4 linked regions of the Macaca fascicularis genome follow. The protein of the gene in region 3 binds, or shares a complex with, the protein of the main gene of each other region. Links are inferred from orthologs where the notes say so. Each region holds a gene or a part of one and is shown on either strand. Other genes may lie near its edges.

Evidence for each region. Proteins that work in one complex are often made in the same cells at the same time.
Region 1: LSM6 (region 3) and TXNL4A share a complex: the UniProt entries of both Homo sapiens proteins name them as parts of the precatalytic spliceosome. The link is inferred for Macaca fascicularis from reciprocal best matches to the Homo sapiens genes LSM6 and TXNL4A.
Region 2: LSM6 (region 3) and PRPF4 share a complex: the UniProt entries of both Homo sapiens proteins name them as parts of the precatalytic spliceosome. The link is inferred for Macaca fascicularis from reciprocal best matches to the Homo sapiens genes LSM6 and PRPF4.
Region 4: LSM6 (region 3) and LSM7 share a complex: the UniProt entries of both Homo sapiens proteins name them as parts of the precatalytic spliceosome. The link is inferred for Macaca fascicularis from reciprocal best matches to the Homo sapiens genes LSM6 and LSM7.

What each region holds. Positions count from the first base shown.
Region 1 is NC_088392.1:1,012,183-1,016,713, forward strand, and holds the start of TXNL4A (thioredoxin-like protein 4A), read left to right. Parts: upstream 1-1,661; 5' UTR 1,662-1,835; coding exon 1,836-1,988; exon of another isoform or gene 1,989-2,258; intron 2,259-3,565; exon of another isoform or gene 3,566-3,602; coding exon of another isoform or gene 3,603-3,638; intron 3,639-4,369; exon of another isoform or gene 4,370-4,371; coding exon of another isoform or gene 4,372-4,437; intron 4,438-4,531. UniProt on the Homo sapiens protein: Plays a role in pre-mRNA splicing as component of the U5 snRNP and U4/U6-U5 tri-snRNP complexes that are involved in spliceosome assembly, and as component of the precatalytic spliceosome (spliceosome B complex).
Region 2 is NC_088389.1:44,822,710-44,827,241, reverse strand, and holds the start of PRPF4 (U4/U6 small nuclear ribonucleoprotein Prp4), read left to right. Parts: upstream 1-1,662; 5' UTR 1,663-1,748; coding exon 1,749-1,775; intron 1,776-2,542; coding exon 2,543-2,720; intron 2,721-4,532. UniProt on the Homo sapiens protein: Plays a role in pre-mRNA splicing as component of the U4/U6-U5 tri-snRNP complex that is involved in spliceosome assembly, and as component of the precatalytic spliceosome (spliceosome B complex).
Region 3 is NC_088379.1:151,041,319-151,044,420, reverse strand, and holds part of LSM6 (U6 snRNA-associated Sm-like protein LSm6), read right to left. Parts: intron 899-3,102; coding exon 785-898; intron 1-784. UniProt on the Homo sapiens protein: Plays a role in pre-mRNA splicing as component of the U4/U6-U5 tri-snRNP complex that is involved in spliceosome assembly, and as component of the precatalytic spliceosome (spliceosome B complex).
Region 4 is NC_088393.1:2,988,070-2,992,865, forward strand, and holds the start of LSM7 (U6 snRNA-associated Sm-like protein LSm7), read right to left. Parts: upstream 2,871-4,796; 5' UTR 2,839-2,870; coding exon 2,833-2,838; intron 2,750-2,832; coding exon 2,659-2,749; intron 1-2,658. Other genes in the region: SPPL2B (signal peptide peptidase-like 2B), read left to right, coding at 2,991-3,056. UniProt on the Homo sapiens protein: Plays a role in pre-mRNA splicing as component of the U4/U6-U5 tri-snRNP complex that is involved in spliceosome assembly, and as component of the precatalytic spliceosome (spliceosome B complex).

The DNA of each region.
Region 1 (4,531 bases), on a different chromosome or scaffold from region 3:
CACTTGTGATTCTATTTAAATTGTGGGTGCATATTATCAAAGCACCTTATGGTGCTGTGTCCCAGAGGAAACCAAACATGGAACCCATTTCAATCCCCAGGCCAGCAGGCTCCTCAGACTGCAGTTCTCACTATGCCACAGCCCATCTGAGAGACACCACAGCATCTGCATAGTGATTTTTTGTTGTCATTGTTTTTGAGATGGAGTCTCACTGTCACCCAGGCTGGAGTGAAGTGCTGCGATCTCAGCTCACTGCAACCTCCATCCCCCGGGTTCAAGCGATTCTCCTGCCTCAGCCTCCCGAGTAGCTGGGATTATAGGCGCGCGGCACCACGCCCGGGTAATTTTTTGTATTTTTAGTAGAGACGGGGTTTCACCATGTTGGTCAGACTGGTCTTAAACTCCCAACCACAGGCGATCCACCGGCCTCGGCTTCCCAAAGTGCCGGGATTACAGGCCTGAGCCACCGCGCCCCGGCATGATTTGTTGTCAATTTGTCATCCAAAGGACCACAAGGATGGCTGGATAGCAGACAAGAGTTTTACTGTCAATGTCAGTTTGCAAACCAGGGGGAGTCTCTAACATGAACCCAAAGTGCTCTCTCAGAAGAACAGAGATTAGAGGTTTTATTTTAAAAAGAGAAATATTATTTCTCTTGGAGAAAGTTCATAGGCACCAGTAAGGGTCTGGGGAGCTCTGACTGGGGAGCGAAGCCGGGGGAGCCAGATCAGTCCTGGAGGTGCAAGTTATGCTGAAGCTATGCAATAAAACTGGCTTCAGGTCGGGCGCGGTGGCTTCCTCCAGTAATTTCAGCGCTTTGGGAGGCCGAAGCGGGCGGATCACTTGAGGTCAGGGGTTCGAAACCAGCCTGGCCAACATGGTTAAACCCCGTCTCTACTAAGTACAAAAAAACTAGCCGGGCTGGCGCCTGTAGTCCCAGCTTACGGGGAGGCTGAGGCAGGAGAAGCGCTTGAACCCGGGAGGCGGGGGCTGCAGTGGGCCGAGATCACGCCACTGCACTCCAGCCTGCGCGACAGAACGAGACAACGTCTCAAAAAAAATTTTTTTTCTTTATAAAAAGACAAAAACTCTGGTTTCGGGTTACAACAGGCAGCTCAGCAGCCGGCCTGACGGTGACATTCCTCAAGGACGGCCTGCCCAGTGCTTCCCCCCACCCCGCTGCTCGGCTCTGCCGTGGCTGGGTATGGCAACAACGACACATTTTTATGGTCAAGTTTCACAAATGACACACACGAACCGTCTCGCTAACACACAGCACAAACGATGACCCGAAACAGACACCGGAAAGGAAAAAAACGAGCCGCAGTGCCGGGCATGCCGGGCCTTTCTGAAGACGTCCCCATCCGTGGCTGGAGGACAGCCCGGGCGGCGGCGGGCGGCCTCGGGGCGGGTGCGTCGGGGCAGGGCACGGCGAGCCCGGGGCTTCTCAGGACCACCAGGCCGCCTGGACGCTGGGGAGGAACCCCCACTCCGACGCCGGCTAGGAGGGCACCAACCGCGCTCCACCGTGGCCAGGTCGCCGCCGCTCCCGCCGGCCAACGACAAGTTAGCGCGGCGTCTGTACGCGCGTGACGTCAGCACGCACGGCGCCAGCCCGTGCGCATGACGTCAGCACGCACGGCGTCGGTGCGTGCGCGCCCAGAGGTTCCGCCCGGCGGCAGTGCCAGCGGAGCTTGCGGGTGCGGGTGGGACCGGGTTTCGGCTGTGGGCCCGGGGGCGGCGGGGGCCGCGGAGTGAGGGGCCGGCTGAGCCCACCACCTCGCTGGGCCCTCCCTGGCGCCCGGCCTCGGGCGGCGGCGAGCGCGCGGGTCGCCATGTCGTACATGCTCCCGCACCTGCACAACGGCTGGCAGGTGGACCAGGCCATTCTCTCCGAGGAGGACCGCGTGGTCGTCATCCGCTTCGGCCACGACTGGGACCCCACCTGCATGAAGATGGACGAGGTCCTATACAGCATCGCCGAGAAGGTAGCGCGCCGGGCCCTCCCGCCCTGCTGGCTGTGCTTCCGCAGCGGCCCCGCGCCTCTGCCCCGCCGGCCTCGCCTGGGGGCGCGAGCCGTTCCCCGAGGAGGGGCCGCGGCGCGGTCGTCCGGGCGATTCCTTCCCGCGCTGCGGGCGAGCGCTCTCGGGGACTGTGCCGGCGTTTCGCGCCTTTTTCTGCAGGGAGGTCCTGTAGTTGTTCACGTTTTAAAGGGTTTATGATCCCCCTCCCCTCGAAGGAATTCATTATTTCTGTTGGTAAGGCGTTTTTCCCAATCTTACAGTGCAGTGAACAAAGTAACACTTGCAGATTTTGAGAGCGCAGATCCTTAATTTAAAAGGATGCCCTTTTTTGGTGCCTTGTTTGTTTGTTGTATGTGTAAAGCAGAACTTTCATGTTAATAGCATAAGAAATCCTGTTTTTCTGTTGTTGTTTTCTCCCACCGCGCTTTTTGTAAGTCATGTGATTTATAGCTTAGAGTGATTAAGATGCAGAAAACATCGGGAGAAAATAGAACTATGCTTTGTTGGAACTAGTTTTCTGAATTTCTAATATTAGTACATTGAGTGGCCTTGGCACTTACTTGCTGACAATAAAAGTTGTGGGACACTATTTTATAACCAGGTTTCATTCTTTTTCTGTGGTTCCTCACAGCAATTTTAGGATGGCGTTTATTTAGGTTTTGCAGCTGTAGCAATAGGGCAAAGGGCACAAATACTAGGGTGTTAATAAAATATTTGCCATATTAATTTTCCGTAAGTAATTTGAGCGGTTATTCATTTTGATGAAGAGTAAAAGTAACATTGAAGCTATCTTTTCTTTCACAGATGCTAAAGTAGGCTGGGTTAAAATAACTCCTTTGAGTAAAGAGTAACAGATATAAAGACATTTTATATTGAGGAAAGGAAAGACTGTCTGGCCTGCCATTTATTAATTCTTGCTATTTCTTATTTAGTAGGAGAGGCGTGATGTTAGGAACTGTTGTTATATTTTAGTTATTACAAGAATCTCTTGGAGTGCTTACTAAAATGCATCTGTGATTCTGAGTCTATGGGTGTGGGGTGAAGTCCAGCAATGGCTTTTTAAAGAAGCCCCTCAGGGAATTCTGATGTGACCTGACCTTGAACCACACACTCAGAAACCCTTCCATGGGGGTCAGGGACAGAGGCGGAGTGCTTTATTACCAGCCATCTCCCAGCCTCTTCCTCTTGGACAGCAGGACACTGAGGACTTGAGGAGCTGCCTAGGGAATCAGGAGAGCAGCAGTTCTCTCACACTGGGGCTTCTGCCAGCCAGGGATTAGAGATGATGAGTGAGGCAGTGCCAGCACATCAGCTTTTCATTGCTTGACTTGTAGTGGACAAGGGCAGATACTGGAAATCCAGCGAAGAATTGACGAAGAGCAGTTTCCCAATAAGTAAATCACTGCTTGTAAATCACTGACTTTGAGTTACGAGTTCTAGAATCTTTCACTGTTCTACCTTGCAGATGGTGGCATAAACATCAGCTGGTGTTCAGATCCTGCTGCCGGCAGCTCGAGGCTAGGATGGCTGGCGATGTGAGGGCCTTTGTCTCATCACATCCAGGCAGAGCTCAGCAAGATGCTCTTAGCTAGGAAACAGATTTTATGTGTTAATGTAAGTGTTAGGGTCTTTGCCAGATTTGCTCTTTTTTTCCAATTCCTTTATGTCCGATTTCTTTGTTATTACAGAATGAATCACTGTATCACTAGTGGACACACACTTAAGGACAGTTGAAATGGGCTCACTTTGGGGTATTTTTTTTTTTTTTTTGGTCTTTTAAAATAGTTTGATTTTTGTTTCTGTCCAAAAATTTGGATTGCTTTATTAATAAACTTTTAATGCAAATATTATAGTATAATTATTAAAAGCGCAAACCTAGGCCAGGCACGGTGGTTCATATCTGTAATCCCAGCACTTTGGTTGGGAGGCTAGTGTAGGCAGATCACTTGAGCCCAGGAATTCGAGACCAGCCTGGACAATATGGTGAAACCCGTTCTCTACTAAAAGTACAAATGCCAGACGTGGTGGCACATGCCTGTAGTCCCAGCTACTTGGGAGGCTGAGGTGGGAGAATCACCTGAGCCCGGGAAGTCAAGGCTGCAGTGAGCCATGATTATACCACTGAACTCCAGCCTGGGCAACAGGAGTGAGACCCTGTCTCCAAAAATAAGTGCAAACCTGAAATGCATTAAAAGACTATTCGTGTTTTATTTTCTTCTTAGTATATGGGCAAAATATGACTTTCTAATTCTGGAAGCTCTTTTGGGGAAACTCAACAGAAATTTTTGAAATGTAAGATTTTAGTATAAAGAACAATATAACTATTTAAAAATTTCCCTGTGCAGAAATGGCAGATAATGGAGAATCTTCCTTATCTTGTTATGAGTCCTGTCGATGTCCCAGCTGTTTTAAAGTGAGTAACAGTTGCAGATGTTCGGCTGGACTTGATACGATTTTTTCCTGGATGTGTTGTATTGATCTGCTGCTTCCACAAGGCCCACTGGCCT
Region 2 (4,532 bases), on a different chromosome or scaffold from region 3:
TCTCCACAGCATCCCCTAGAGTGTATCTATAAAAACAGTCAGTAAATGTTTGTTGAATAAAAGGTGAGATCATTCTTGAGCACTGTGCTCTTTTTCCATTCCCATTCTTTACATTCTTAACACAAAAACCTGTGAAGTTGACAAAATGATTCCTATTTCACACATAAAGAAGTCATCGAAGCAAGCTGTTCAGTTTGGTTAATAATTTTAGCCTCCTATAAAAATTATACAGGTCAACATGATAAGGATTAAGTGAGAATGATGGAAGTGAAAACTCCTTGAAAGTATATAGAGATACAAATTATTACATGTATCTAGGATGAAACTAGGGACTGTGAAGTATACAAAGGAAGAAATATTTCCTTCTCCCATGAAGCTTAGGATATTACAGGCGATATTATCAACACAAAACACTGGCACATTACATTTCAAATTGCTTTGTACTAAATCAGGCATTATCTTCTACCAGATTCCAATGCAGACAAATGGTAGAGAAAGCCAAAGTTCCAAAGAGGGAAAGAGAGGGATAGGGATACCTAAAAGGAAAAAAAAGGTCTACTATACATTTTACCTTTTCTGCAAACTGCGAAAAACTGGCCACTACGGAGCAGTATAGAGTAGCAGTTAAAAGTGCTGGCTGTAGAGGTTAAAGGGCACAGGTTCTAATCCCACTGCGCCACTGATCTTGAACAATTAGTTTCATTTCTAACTAGGCCTTAGTTTCCTCATCTGTATCCTACTTTGCTGTTGTAGGAAGTGAATAACGTAATGCAGAGTAAGCTCTTGGAACATTACTTGGCATTTAATAAATGTTCAATAAATAACACCTATTATGGCTGTAATTTTTCTAGGGGGTTGGATGAGGATCTGGCCAGCTACGGAAACGTCAATATTTTGAGGATCTCCCACCGTCCACGTGGGGATAAAAACCTTATGCTGTTCGTCTCTAATACCCCAGCATCCAGCAGGGCAGAGAGACGTACAGTTCCCTGACACCCTCCTAACCATCATCTTACTCTCAATCTGATACAAAGACCAGGCTGAAGACAAATGAACAAAATCAGGCCGAAGCTCCTCCGCCGGGTCTTTATTTGACTTTGGCACCAGCGGGCTCTTCTAGCTTAATCTCTCGCTGCAGCCCAAATCCACCGCCGAGCCATCAAGCTCATAGGTGGCCCCTGGGAAGACTTCCGGACCATGGAAGAGAACAGTCCTCGTCCCCTAGCTCCAGGCCTGTACCTCGGATCCCAGGGTTTCTATGGTAACACGGTCCTCGGCTCCCAGAAGACGTAAACGCCCCCGTAGGCCCGGGGAGGCACAGCGGGCCCCGGAAGCCCTCGACTCGCTCCAGAGTTCAGCCCCGAGCCGCGCGAGTCGACTTACCTACCTCTTTTCAAGTCGGCTCAGCCCCTTCCCGGAACCTCGGCTCCCCTCCACGAAACTACTGCTACGCCAACTGGACTACACTTCCCAGACGGCTTGGAGCCTCTCTCTCAGCAGAACCTCGTCTTCCGCGAGCTTTTCTTGGAGGTTCTAGGAGGGATGCCCCTCAATGCCACGACGCCATTTCCTACTACGACTTCCATCATGCTCCGCGCCGCTCCGGGCGCAGCGACGGCTCTTGGCCCATGTCCTGTTTGCGACACACTTCCGGTCAGTGACGCACTTCCGCTCTGCTGGGCGCGCGGTGGAAGGTCTGAAACGGAGAGCTTGGATTTCGCTGGGGCCTCGCGGCTCCAGAGCCCAGCATGGCTTCCTCGCGAACCTCCTCCACGGTACAGAGCCCGGGATCGCAACTCACTCTGGCAGGGAGCGCGAAGGGGGAAGAGGATCTCTGCGGGAAGGGGCCGTTAGGGAGCGAGAGAAGGCGGTGGAGGGCTGAGGAGGAAGGCTGCGGGACTCAGTGGTGTTCTACACAGCGGACCACCGTTTTCCTGACCCCTAAGCGCTTTCGTGGACTGTAGCTTATTTGCACCTCTCCCACTACAGCCCCAAAGGGCAAACATCTCTTCCGACTCATCCAGTAACGGTGCTCTGAAATAGGGAAGTGTCTTGGCCAAGGTTTATGCGTTTGGCAGATCTCAAAATTTTAATGAGACCTACTAACTTCTACCTCACGTCTAGAAACGTTTGAAATGTATACACTCGTAATGTTGTAACTTGTTATCCTTTAGCACCGCGTTGGTTATTTCATCTATCCTTAGTATTTCCCCAGTGATGAGCAGTAATCTTGGATACATCGTAAAACACGAGATTCCACGTTTCCAGCAGAATAAAGTAAACAGATTCCAGAGCAAACCTTTCATATGAAAATACTCGAGAGAACCTCACTAGTTTTATCAATCCCGTCAGCTAAAGTGAGGGACTGAAACACCCTCCCCTTCACCTCAAATCGATGAAGAACATCTTAAGTAGTGTCCAATTTGTCCTTTCAATTATGAAGGAAATAGGACTGTGAAACTCAGGGCGAGCTTCATCCTCGGGAAATCCGGTAAATTGCCAAGATTAAACCTCAATTTAATCCAGATTTTTGATTTGGCAGGCAACCAAAACTAAAACACCCGATGACTTAGTTGCTCCGGTTGTGAAGAAACCACACATCTATTATGGAAGTTTGGAAGAGAAGGAGAGGGAGCGTCTGGCCAAAGGAGAGTCTGGGATTTTGGGGAAAGAAGGACTTAAAGCAGGGATCGAAGCTGGAAATATTAATATAACCTCTGGTAAGATGCAAATTGTGAACCCATCTTTACCTCTTTGTGTAATGAATACTTTCCTAAACTTGAATATCATCAGTTTTATAATGTCAAAAAATTTAAGTTCTTTTGTTTTAGACGGAGTCTCGCTCTGTCACCAGGCTGGAGTGCAGTGGCGCGATGTCTGCTCACTGCAACCCCCGCCTCCCGGGTTCAGGCAGTTCTCCTTCAGCCTCCGGAGTAGCCGGGATAACAGGCGCACACCAACAAGCCCAACTAATTTTTGTATTTTTAGTAGAGACGGGGTTTCATCATGTTGGTCAAACTCCTGACCTTGTGATCCCTCCCCCTCGTCCTCCCAAAGTGCTGGGATTACAAGCGTGAGCCACTGCGCCTGGCAGAATTTCAATTCTTAAACTTGCATCTATAAGGCTGTATTTTGCCTACCCCCTTAAAATCATGCAGAGAGCCTTTTTCTTACAATGTGTTACATAGTTTTGCTTCTATGAGTGAGCAGTCTTATCAAAAATTCAGTGTACATTTGGATTCAGATTGATTCCATTTGTCTTCTGGAGATCTAACATAGTTCTGGCATTGGTTTGCAGCTAGAGTGGTTCGTGATAATCTCCCTTTTGAAGTTTTCCAATTATTTTTTACCCAAAGGGAAATATCTTTTTTTTTTTTTTTTTTTTTTTTTTTGACACAGGGTCTCACTCTCTTGCCCAGGCTGGAATGCAGTGGCATAACCGTGGCTCACTGCAACCTCTGCCTTTTGTGTTCAAGTGATTCTCCTGCCTCAGCTTCACGATTAGCTGAGATTACAGGTGCCGGCTACCACACCCAGCTAATTGTTGTATTTTTAGTAGAGACGGGGTTTCACCATGTTGCGCAGGCTGGTCTCCAACTCCTGACCTCAAATGATCTGCCCACTTCGGCCTCCCAAAGTGCTGGGATTACGGGCGTGAGCCACTGCACCTGGCTGAGATATCTTGTTTTATTATAAAAGTAATAGTGGCCAAGCCTGGTGGCTGAAACCTGTAATCCCAGCACTTTGGGAGGCTGCGAAGTGGGAGTCCGGCTTGAGCCCAGGAATTCGAGACCAGCCTGGGCAAATAGTGATACCCCATCTCTACAAAAAGTAGAAAATTAGCCGGGCATGGTGACGCGTGCCTGTATTCCCAGCTAATTGGGGTTCTGAGGTGGGAGTTCAAGGCTGCAGTGAGTCATGATTGTACCACTGCACTCCAGCCTGGACAACAGAGAGAGACCCTGTCTCAAAAAAAAAAGGTAATAGTTATTTTTCTTTTAAAAGATCAAACAGTGTATGAATGTGTGAAGTAGAAAATCCAGTATTTTTTAATTAATTGATTGTATATCTTAGAATTTTAATACAGCTATAAAAATACGTCATTTTTTCCATAAGTGAAAACATGATACGTAAATTGTTGTATAACCCCCATTTTTCATTTTATATACCATTGAGGATATCTTTCCATGTCAGTAATGAGAGGTCCACTCTATTTTTAAAATAAAATTACGCATATTTGTCATAAGAAATTCAGACAATACCAGAGGGCATAAAATGAAGACTCCTCTGGCTGGGTGTGATGGCTCACGCCTGTAATCCCAGCACTTTGGGAGACTGAGGTGGGTGGATCACGACGTCAGGAGATGGAAACCATCCTGGCTAACATGGTGAAACCCCGTCTCTACTAAAAATACAAAAAAATTAGCCAGTTGTGGTGGCGGGCTCCTGTAGTCCCAGCTATTCGGGAGGCTGAGACAGGAGAATGGTGTGAACCCGGGAGGCGGAGCTTGCAGTGAGCTGAGATGGCGCCA
Region 3 (3,102 bases):
GGTACTGTAAGCACAGGGGACAGACTATTATAAAAGTCAGGAAGTTTAGTTTATATCAAAGAGATCCAACTATTTAGGGGGTTGAAGACATCCAGAATTAAAGAAATCAACAAAAAATCTGAACTCAAGAATCCCAGAGTTTCATTTGGGAGATGGAACCAAGAAGTAGGGTAATTCTCGTAATTCTGTTATTTTTCCCTCCCCACCAAAAATACAAATGTGACTTTATCATAATTTTCATTTTGAAACTAGGTACTTAAAAATAACTATAAAAATCATAGCAATTTATTAGTTGTTAAAAAACTGAGTAACTTTATTTTTTCTATTTTGCCATTTTTGCCAAATCAAAGGATGCAAATCTGCACAGAAAGCATCTGAATGTTTAATAGAGAAGGGACAAATAGGACAAACTGCCAAATTATGCAAATTAAAGACAGCAGGGAAATGGTGCCCATTCTTACAGCTGCAACTTCCAGGCTACAAGAAGCAGGAATATGTGTTGGGGAGATAATAATACACTATATTCAAGAGAGCAGGGTTCCGGGTCAGGAGAACAATGCCCCCAGTTCCTCATCACTAAAGGAAGGGAAGGAGGGAATTTTAGTTTAAAAATTCCATGATGTATCTAAAAAAATAACTGGTCAAACTGACATATAAGCATTTTAAAATAATCAAGCCTAAAACTGGACTTTTAAATTATCTAGTAAACTCTTTGGTGATCTGGATTATAAACAGAAAGGCTTATTTTGAATGAATGCTGTACTGTAGGGTGAAGAAATGTTACCATTGTTTCCTCGGATAAATGCATCCCCATACTTATTCTTCAGTTGTCCATTTACATATTCTTCTGTCTGCTCCAGGGCTATATTCATGTAGCCATCCAAGCAAGCCAGGACCCCTGTAGACATATTTAGTCAAAAAGAAGAAATACAAGGCAAGTAGGAGTTGAAAATTACAGGGTATACCTTAGAGCAGACAATCTCTTTATTCATTAGCTCTTAGATGCTTAATAAAAAAATTCATACCCTAAATGAAACTCAACAGCTTAAGCACAAAACAACTCTAGGCCAATCTGAATGAAGACTAGGAAGGCAGTCACGCACCCACTACTACCCAGTAAAACAACAAACTGTCACTTCCCTCACGGTATGTATGACCACATAGCAACTTTTAAAGCATTCAAAAAAGTAAGAGAATAAGACTAATCCAACAAAAATACCATTCTGTGAAAGCTAAGCACAAGGTGGGCAATTATGCATGAACAAATGATCCTTGGTTCCAGTGGCATTTCCTACTTCAGCCACTAAGTGAAATACGGGTCTGGCAGATTTATTTCATCCTTTTACAACATCTATTGCAGCAGATGAATGTACTCCAGGGTTAAAAGGAAGTCTCCACAATCTGTTAAAATAATAGAAGAGGAGACAGCAGGTGCTCCCGAAAGAACATCTTAAAGCTGTGACTCACAGTGAAGAGCAGCTTGAGAATATAGGGCAACATATTGCATTATAACACATCTTGTTCTGTTTTGTTACAGCTATAATATTTTCCAATCAAAACTAATAGAGAAAATGGCCAAAAACATTTGAGGGAGCTTTCAAGGAAACAGTTTGAGTGAATCTTTAATTGTGTTAAGATGGTATAAATTTTGTAAAATTTGACCTAATGATCTTTTTCAAAAGATGAAAATCTGCAAGCCTCTAACTCTGTCTCTAATTTCAAGTGGTATTTTCTAGAAAAAAAAATTTAAGTAAAAACAAATACTAGATTCAATTAGTCGAGTCTATAAGTTTCTCATTTGATGTCTTAACTTCATTAATATGCTCCTCACTCTCTGCCTCTGCCCCCATTATCCTCTAAACAAAAAAGTTTCCTTTCAAAATTGTGTGTGTAATGACAGCATAAGACATTAATCTACCAGAATTCTGCTAAAAGCGGTAAACTCTCAAAGAACCAGAATGGACTGTGAATAATAAAATTATTTCCTAGCCAAAGAAAGCTTAAGCTATAACTTTAGCTCATTTCCTGCTGTATTATTTTACATATAAGCCACAATTATAAATGAGCAAGAAACTTCTGAGGCACAATATGCAAACCTGTTCGAAAACTAATGAAAAGAATTTCAAAATGAAATGTCCAGGCTGGGCACAGTGGCTCACGCCTGTAATCCCAGTACTTTGGGACACAGAGGCAGGCAGATCACTTGAGGTCAGGAGTTCAAGATCAGCCTGGCTAACATGGCGAAACCCCGTCTCTACTAAAAATACAAACATTAGTCGGGCGTGGTGGCGGGTGCCTGTAACACTAGCCACTCGGGAGGCTGAGGCAGAAGAATCATTTGAACTTGGGAGGCAGAGGCTGCAGTGAGCCAAGACTGAGCCACTGTACTCCAGCCTGGGTGACAGAGTGAGACTTGGTCTCAAAAAAAAAAAGAAAAAAAAAAAGTTCACTTCTAATTAAAGTATCTGTTCTCACAGCAAAGGCAAAAAACAAAAAACAAAACAAAAAACAAACAAACAAAAAAAACTGCCCAGGGGGTTAGAAATATAACCGTTTCCTTCTCCATGAGATAACCTCCTATACATAACCAAAACAAGACATTTTCTTACACAGAAACTGCTACAGAGAGTTGGAGGTTTTTCTTGTATGTTGTGTTTTGTTTTGGGTTTTTTTTTTTTTTGGTGTTTTGTAAACCACAAAATAAGCACGTTCTTTTAGTAAGGCTATCTAATAGTATAGAACATTTTGTTTTAATCGTATAAAGGCCACAAACAGACATTCATAAGAGGAAAAAAAATTATGGTTACTATCCATGTGAAAGACTGCTGAATCTCACTAGTAAACAAATAAAATATATGTAGAATGAGATATTACTTGTTGCCGATTAGACTGGAAAAGATGAAAAAAAGCTAATACAAGAGTTGGTGAGAACATGAAGGATAAACCCAGGTTCTCTGAAGCAGGGCCATGGAATACTCTCTGACTTGTAAATCCTAGCTCAGGGAATTGATTCTAAAGAGATGCTTGGTCAACTGTTCACAATATATGTCAAAGTAAAAGAGTTGTTTACAGTGGCAAAAAACTGGTCAACACCTAAATGTC
Region 4 (4,796 bases), on a different chromosome or scaffold from region 3:
AGGCTTTGGGGGCTGAGGCGGTTGCTGTGGCTTCTCTCTCCACGCTGCCTGCCCCACCCCCCAAGCCTCGCCGCCTTAGGTCACAACTTGGCACCTTGGGTTAGGGCTCTCTGACCCGGTGGTGACCTCTGCCATCTGATCCTGCTCCGCAGTGTCTGGTGACACTGAGAAGGATGAAGGGGGAGCTGTGTGTCCTCAGCAGAGGCCAGCCCACCCTCCCTGTCCGGGACTCCCGTCCTCTCCCCCCAGGCTCCTCCAGCCCAGGCCCAGGAGCGGTTCCGCCTCTGCGCTCACTGAGGGGCGTCCCTCAGCCACCCGCTCCCTACCCTCCTTCTTACCCCTGTCATCTTTCAGGTGCTTCCTCCAGACACCAACCCACACCCCTTAGGGTGCTGCCCTCTGCATGCCCCCCACCAATCTCAGGAAGCAGGCACCCCAGGCATTATTCTGCCCGCCTATCTTCTCCCAAGGCAGGGCTGTGAGCCTGTCCATGGCCGTTCTGCGCTGCGAACTACGACCAGAGGCGAAAGTGGCCCACCGCTCATCTCTGTATGCCAAAGTTTCACTGGCCCACCAGCACACTCGCCCGCTCAGGCACTGACCAGGGCGGCTCTCCTGCTCTGCGGGCATAGCTCACTGGTTGTGACAAGAGACCATCTGGGCTGCAAAGCTGAAGATATTTGCTGTCTGGCCTTCTACAGAGAAGGTCTGCCCACCTGCATACAGGCTTTAGCTCCTACCTCCACGGCTCCCTCTCTCTGCGCTCAAGTCCCTCCCCTGCAAAATGAAACCTGTCACCTATGAGATGGGGTCAGACGCAACGGTTCAGGTCCTTGGCACCAGCCTGACCAGTGAGCCAGCCCTCCTCACAGGGACAGATGTGAGCACTGAGGTAGGTAGGTCTCTAACCAAGGTTCCCCTCCCCGGGGTGTGGGCTCGGGCCTGTGACTCTGAGGGGACATGACGTCACTCCTGCACTTAGGTTATGCAGCTGTTTAAGCCCCTGAACCAGCTGACTTTGAGCCAATCTAGAGGGAAACACCCTGGGTGAGCCTGACCATATCAGGTGAGTCCTTCAGGGAGCAAACCCTTTCTCTGCTGTGTGTGTGCGTGTGTGTGATTTATTTATTTTTAGACGGAGTCTCGCTCTGTCTCCCAGACTGGAGTGCAGTGGCGCGATCTCAGCTCACTGCAACCTCTGCCTCCTGGGTTCAAGAGATTCTCCTGCCTCAGCCTCCTGAGTTGTTGGGATTACAGGTGTGCACCACCACGCCCAGCTAATTTTTTTGTATTTTTCGTAGAGATGGGGTTTCACGAAACCCCATGTTGGTCAGGCTGGTCTCGATCTCCTGATCATATGATCCGCCTGCCTCAGCCTCCCAAAGTGCTGGGGTTACAGGCGTGAGTCCCTGCGTCCCGCCAAGAGCTGCAGCATGCATCACCAGCCCACTGCCCATGCGAATGCTTCCTGCCCTCTGAGAGCTCGCCCTGTCTTCACTAGATTCCATGGAAGAGTTGCAGGCAGAGGCAAGCATCAGGTTAACATGCACGAAACCGCAAACGGTGACAGGTGCTACCAGGATCCTAGAACGATGGGGGGCCTGACGCCAGGGTCAGGGAGGGCTTCCCAGAGCAAGCACCTGTGGAACTTGTGCTTCTGCCGCCCTTTGCAGTCATAATCAGAAGTATGGATTCGGATTTTACTCCAAAACAACCGGGAGCCTCAGAGGTTTTCAGCAGGGAGCAAGAAGCCTCCATTTCTTTTTCATTAGGTGCCTCTGGCCGCTGAGTGGAGACTGACCTTAGTAGCTGTGATTCCCAATCACAGCTTGGGGGTCGGGGGGCGATCCTATCCCCAGAGAACACTAAGCAATGTCTGAGGCTATTTAGGTTGTCACAACTTGGTGGAGGCCAGGGATGCTGCTCAGCACCCTGCAGTGCCCCAGGACGGCCCCACTCCAGAGAATCCGGCCCCAAATGTGTCCACACTGCTGTGCGGGAAAGACCTTGACTTAGAGGGAGGAAGAGGAGAAGCCGGGAGATCTGTGGGGATCTGGGGCAGTCCTTGGACACACAGGACTGCTCTGGAGGCCAAGCCGGAAATCCCAATACCGGCTGCGCCACTGTGACTTTGGATTACGTTTGTTTCCCGCTCCTTGCCCCAGTTTCCCCGCCTGCAACATGGCCATACCAGTTCCTACCTCCCGGCGTAATTCGGAAGCCTGCACAAGGTAGTCGGCGTCAAGCGTGTAAAGAGGCGCCTCTGCGGCGGCTCACGCCTGTCATCCCAGCACTTTGGGAGGCCGAGACGGGCGAATCACTTGAGGTCAGAAGCTTGAGACCAGCCTGGCCAACATGGTGAAACCCCGTCTCTACTAGAAATACAAAAATTAGCCAGGAGTGGTGGCGCCTGTAGCCCCAGCCACGCAGGAGGCTGAGGCAGGAGAATCGCTTGAACCCGGGAGGCGGAGGTTGCAGTGAGCTGAGATCGCACCACTTGCACTCCAGACTGGGCGACGGAGCGAGACTGCGTCTCAAAATAAATACATAAATAAAAATAAATAAAAGAGGCGCCTCTGCATGCATCCTCATCACCTCTGTTGCTGACTTTATTTTAAAATTTTAAAGGGGGGGTGCCAACGGCGGGAGCCGCCTCACCTTCGCGTCCTCCCTGAAACTTCACCCGGATCGTCTTGTCGATGTACTTGGACAAGTCCAAGATGCTCTCCTTTTTCTTCTTCTCCTTATCCTGCGGGGAAAGCAGAGCGCATGAGGCCTGGAGCGCGGCCCGAGCCCCACGCCCCCCGGCTCCGGATTCTGCCGCGCGCTCACCGCCATCTTGTCGCGCCGTGAGGCTCTTCGCAGACACCGCCCCGTGCCCTGTGACCTCTCCCCTCCCCCCCACGCGCATGCGCGGCGCATGCGTGGCCCGGGGTCTCGGGGCGTTGCTGGGAAACATCTGCCGACGGTTGCGGCGGGCACCGGCCGAGATGGCGGCGGTGGCGGCGGCTGCGCTGGCGCGGCTTGTGGCGGCCTTTCTGCTCCTCGCGGCCCAGGTGAGCGCGGCACCGGTCCCGACGGCACCGCAGGCTGCGGCCCTTCGGCCTCTCGGCCCCGAGGCTACGCGCAGGAACGACCCCTCTTGGCCCGTCTTGGGGGTCCAGCCTCGGGGATCCGCGGTCCCCTCGTTGTCGGCCGGCGGTGCCGGGGCCCGGCCGTGACCTTGCGGGGCTGTCCCCGGCTTCTCTCCCTTCCCCGCCTCGGAGGCCCTCCGCCGCTGCAGCGCCCCTCACTTCCCACCGGGCCTGAAGTTTGTGCCCCCTCCATCTCCCTGTTCTGCTTGTCCGTTTCGGGGTCTCCAGCCGCCGCGGGGGACGCCTCTCTCCCGCTCTGTGGCCTTGGGCAGGCGGCCGCCCACCCCGCTCCGAGCCTCAGTTTCCCTTTAGGCGGAATGGCCCGGTGCTAAGCTAACCTCACCCTAGGGGGTGCGGTGGGGGAACCCAGAGGCGTCCCGCGTGTCCCCCAGTGACTGGCCAGCATCCTGGAGCGGCCAAGAGCCCAGCCCTGCACTGGGGTCGTATTCCCGCTCCATCTTTTACTCCGTGACCTTGGACGAGGGAATTCCCTGCTTTGAGCGTCAGTTGCTCGTCTGGAGAAGGGGGGTCGACTATGGTGTGGATTCTGGAGATGCTACCCAGGGTGACCAGCGCCTAGGGACAGCACGCCTTCCTTATATTCATTGTGTATCCTTTGATGTAGAGTGTCAGGTTCTAGCGGGGACAGTCTACGAGATGGCACTGTCGTAACTGCATCTTTTATTTTCTTAATTCCAAATCTTACCTCTTACCTGAGTTTGGTGGCTCAGGGAATGGAACCCGGAGCAGCCTCACAAATGCGGCCCTTAACCTTCACTCCTCTCTCAGAGTTCTCTTAAGGCGTCGCTGCCACTGGGCTCCTTCTTAGTCTCCACTCTTCCAGCCCCACCGCCATCCCCCTGCTGTGGCTGCCTTTGTCCCCCACATCCCTAGTCCATCCTCGACACAGCAGGAGTGACCCTTTCAAAGTATGTCAGTCCATGTCGCATCTGGATGAACGTGCCGTCCAGTTGTGACCTGGCGCCAGGGAAGCCTGCAGCTCATTGCAGGAGCTTCGTTGTCTAGTCTTTTCTCTTACCCTGAAATGCCCGTGGTCTCTGCAAGGCTGGAGGGCCCCCTCAGAAGCTTTCTGCGAACCGCACCTCCACCCCCAGCTGCCCTGTCAGCCCCCTGGACTCCCCCTATTCTGAGGCCAGGGACCTAGAGACCCCAGACATTTGGAAGGAGGAGGAAAGCCAAAGGTGGAAGAAAGATAGAAAGATCACAGAACGCTGTGGAGGGAGGGACTCAGTTTGCCTGGGAAGGCTTTTCTGAAGCAGGAGTGTTTTTTTTGTTTGTTTGTTTGTTTTTTTGAGACGGAGTCTTGCTCTGTCTCCCAGGCTGGAGTGCGGTGGCATGATCTCAGCTCACTGCAACCTCTACCTCCCGGTTCAAGCAATTCTCCCACCTCAGTCTCTCGAATAGCTGGGATTACAGGTGCACGCCACCACACCTGGCTATTTTTTTTTTTTTTTTTAAGTAGAGATGAGGTTTAACCACATTGGTCAGGCTGGTCTCAAACTTCTGACCTCAGGTGATCCACCTACCTCGGCCTCCCAAAGTATAGGGATGACAGGCGTGAGCCACCATGCCCAGCCCTGAAGCAGGTGTTCTGAGCCATGAGTAGGAGTTTGCCGGGTCGGCAGGAGGGGAAGGGTGTTG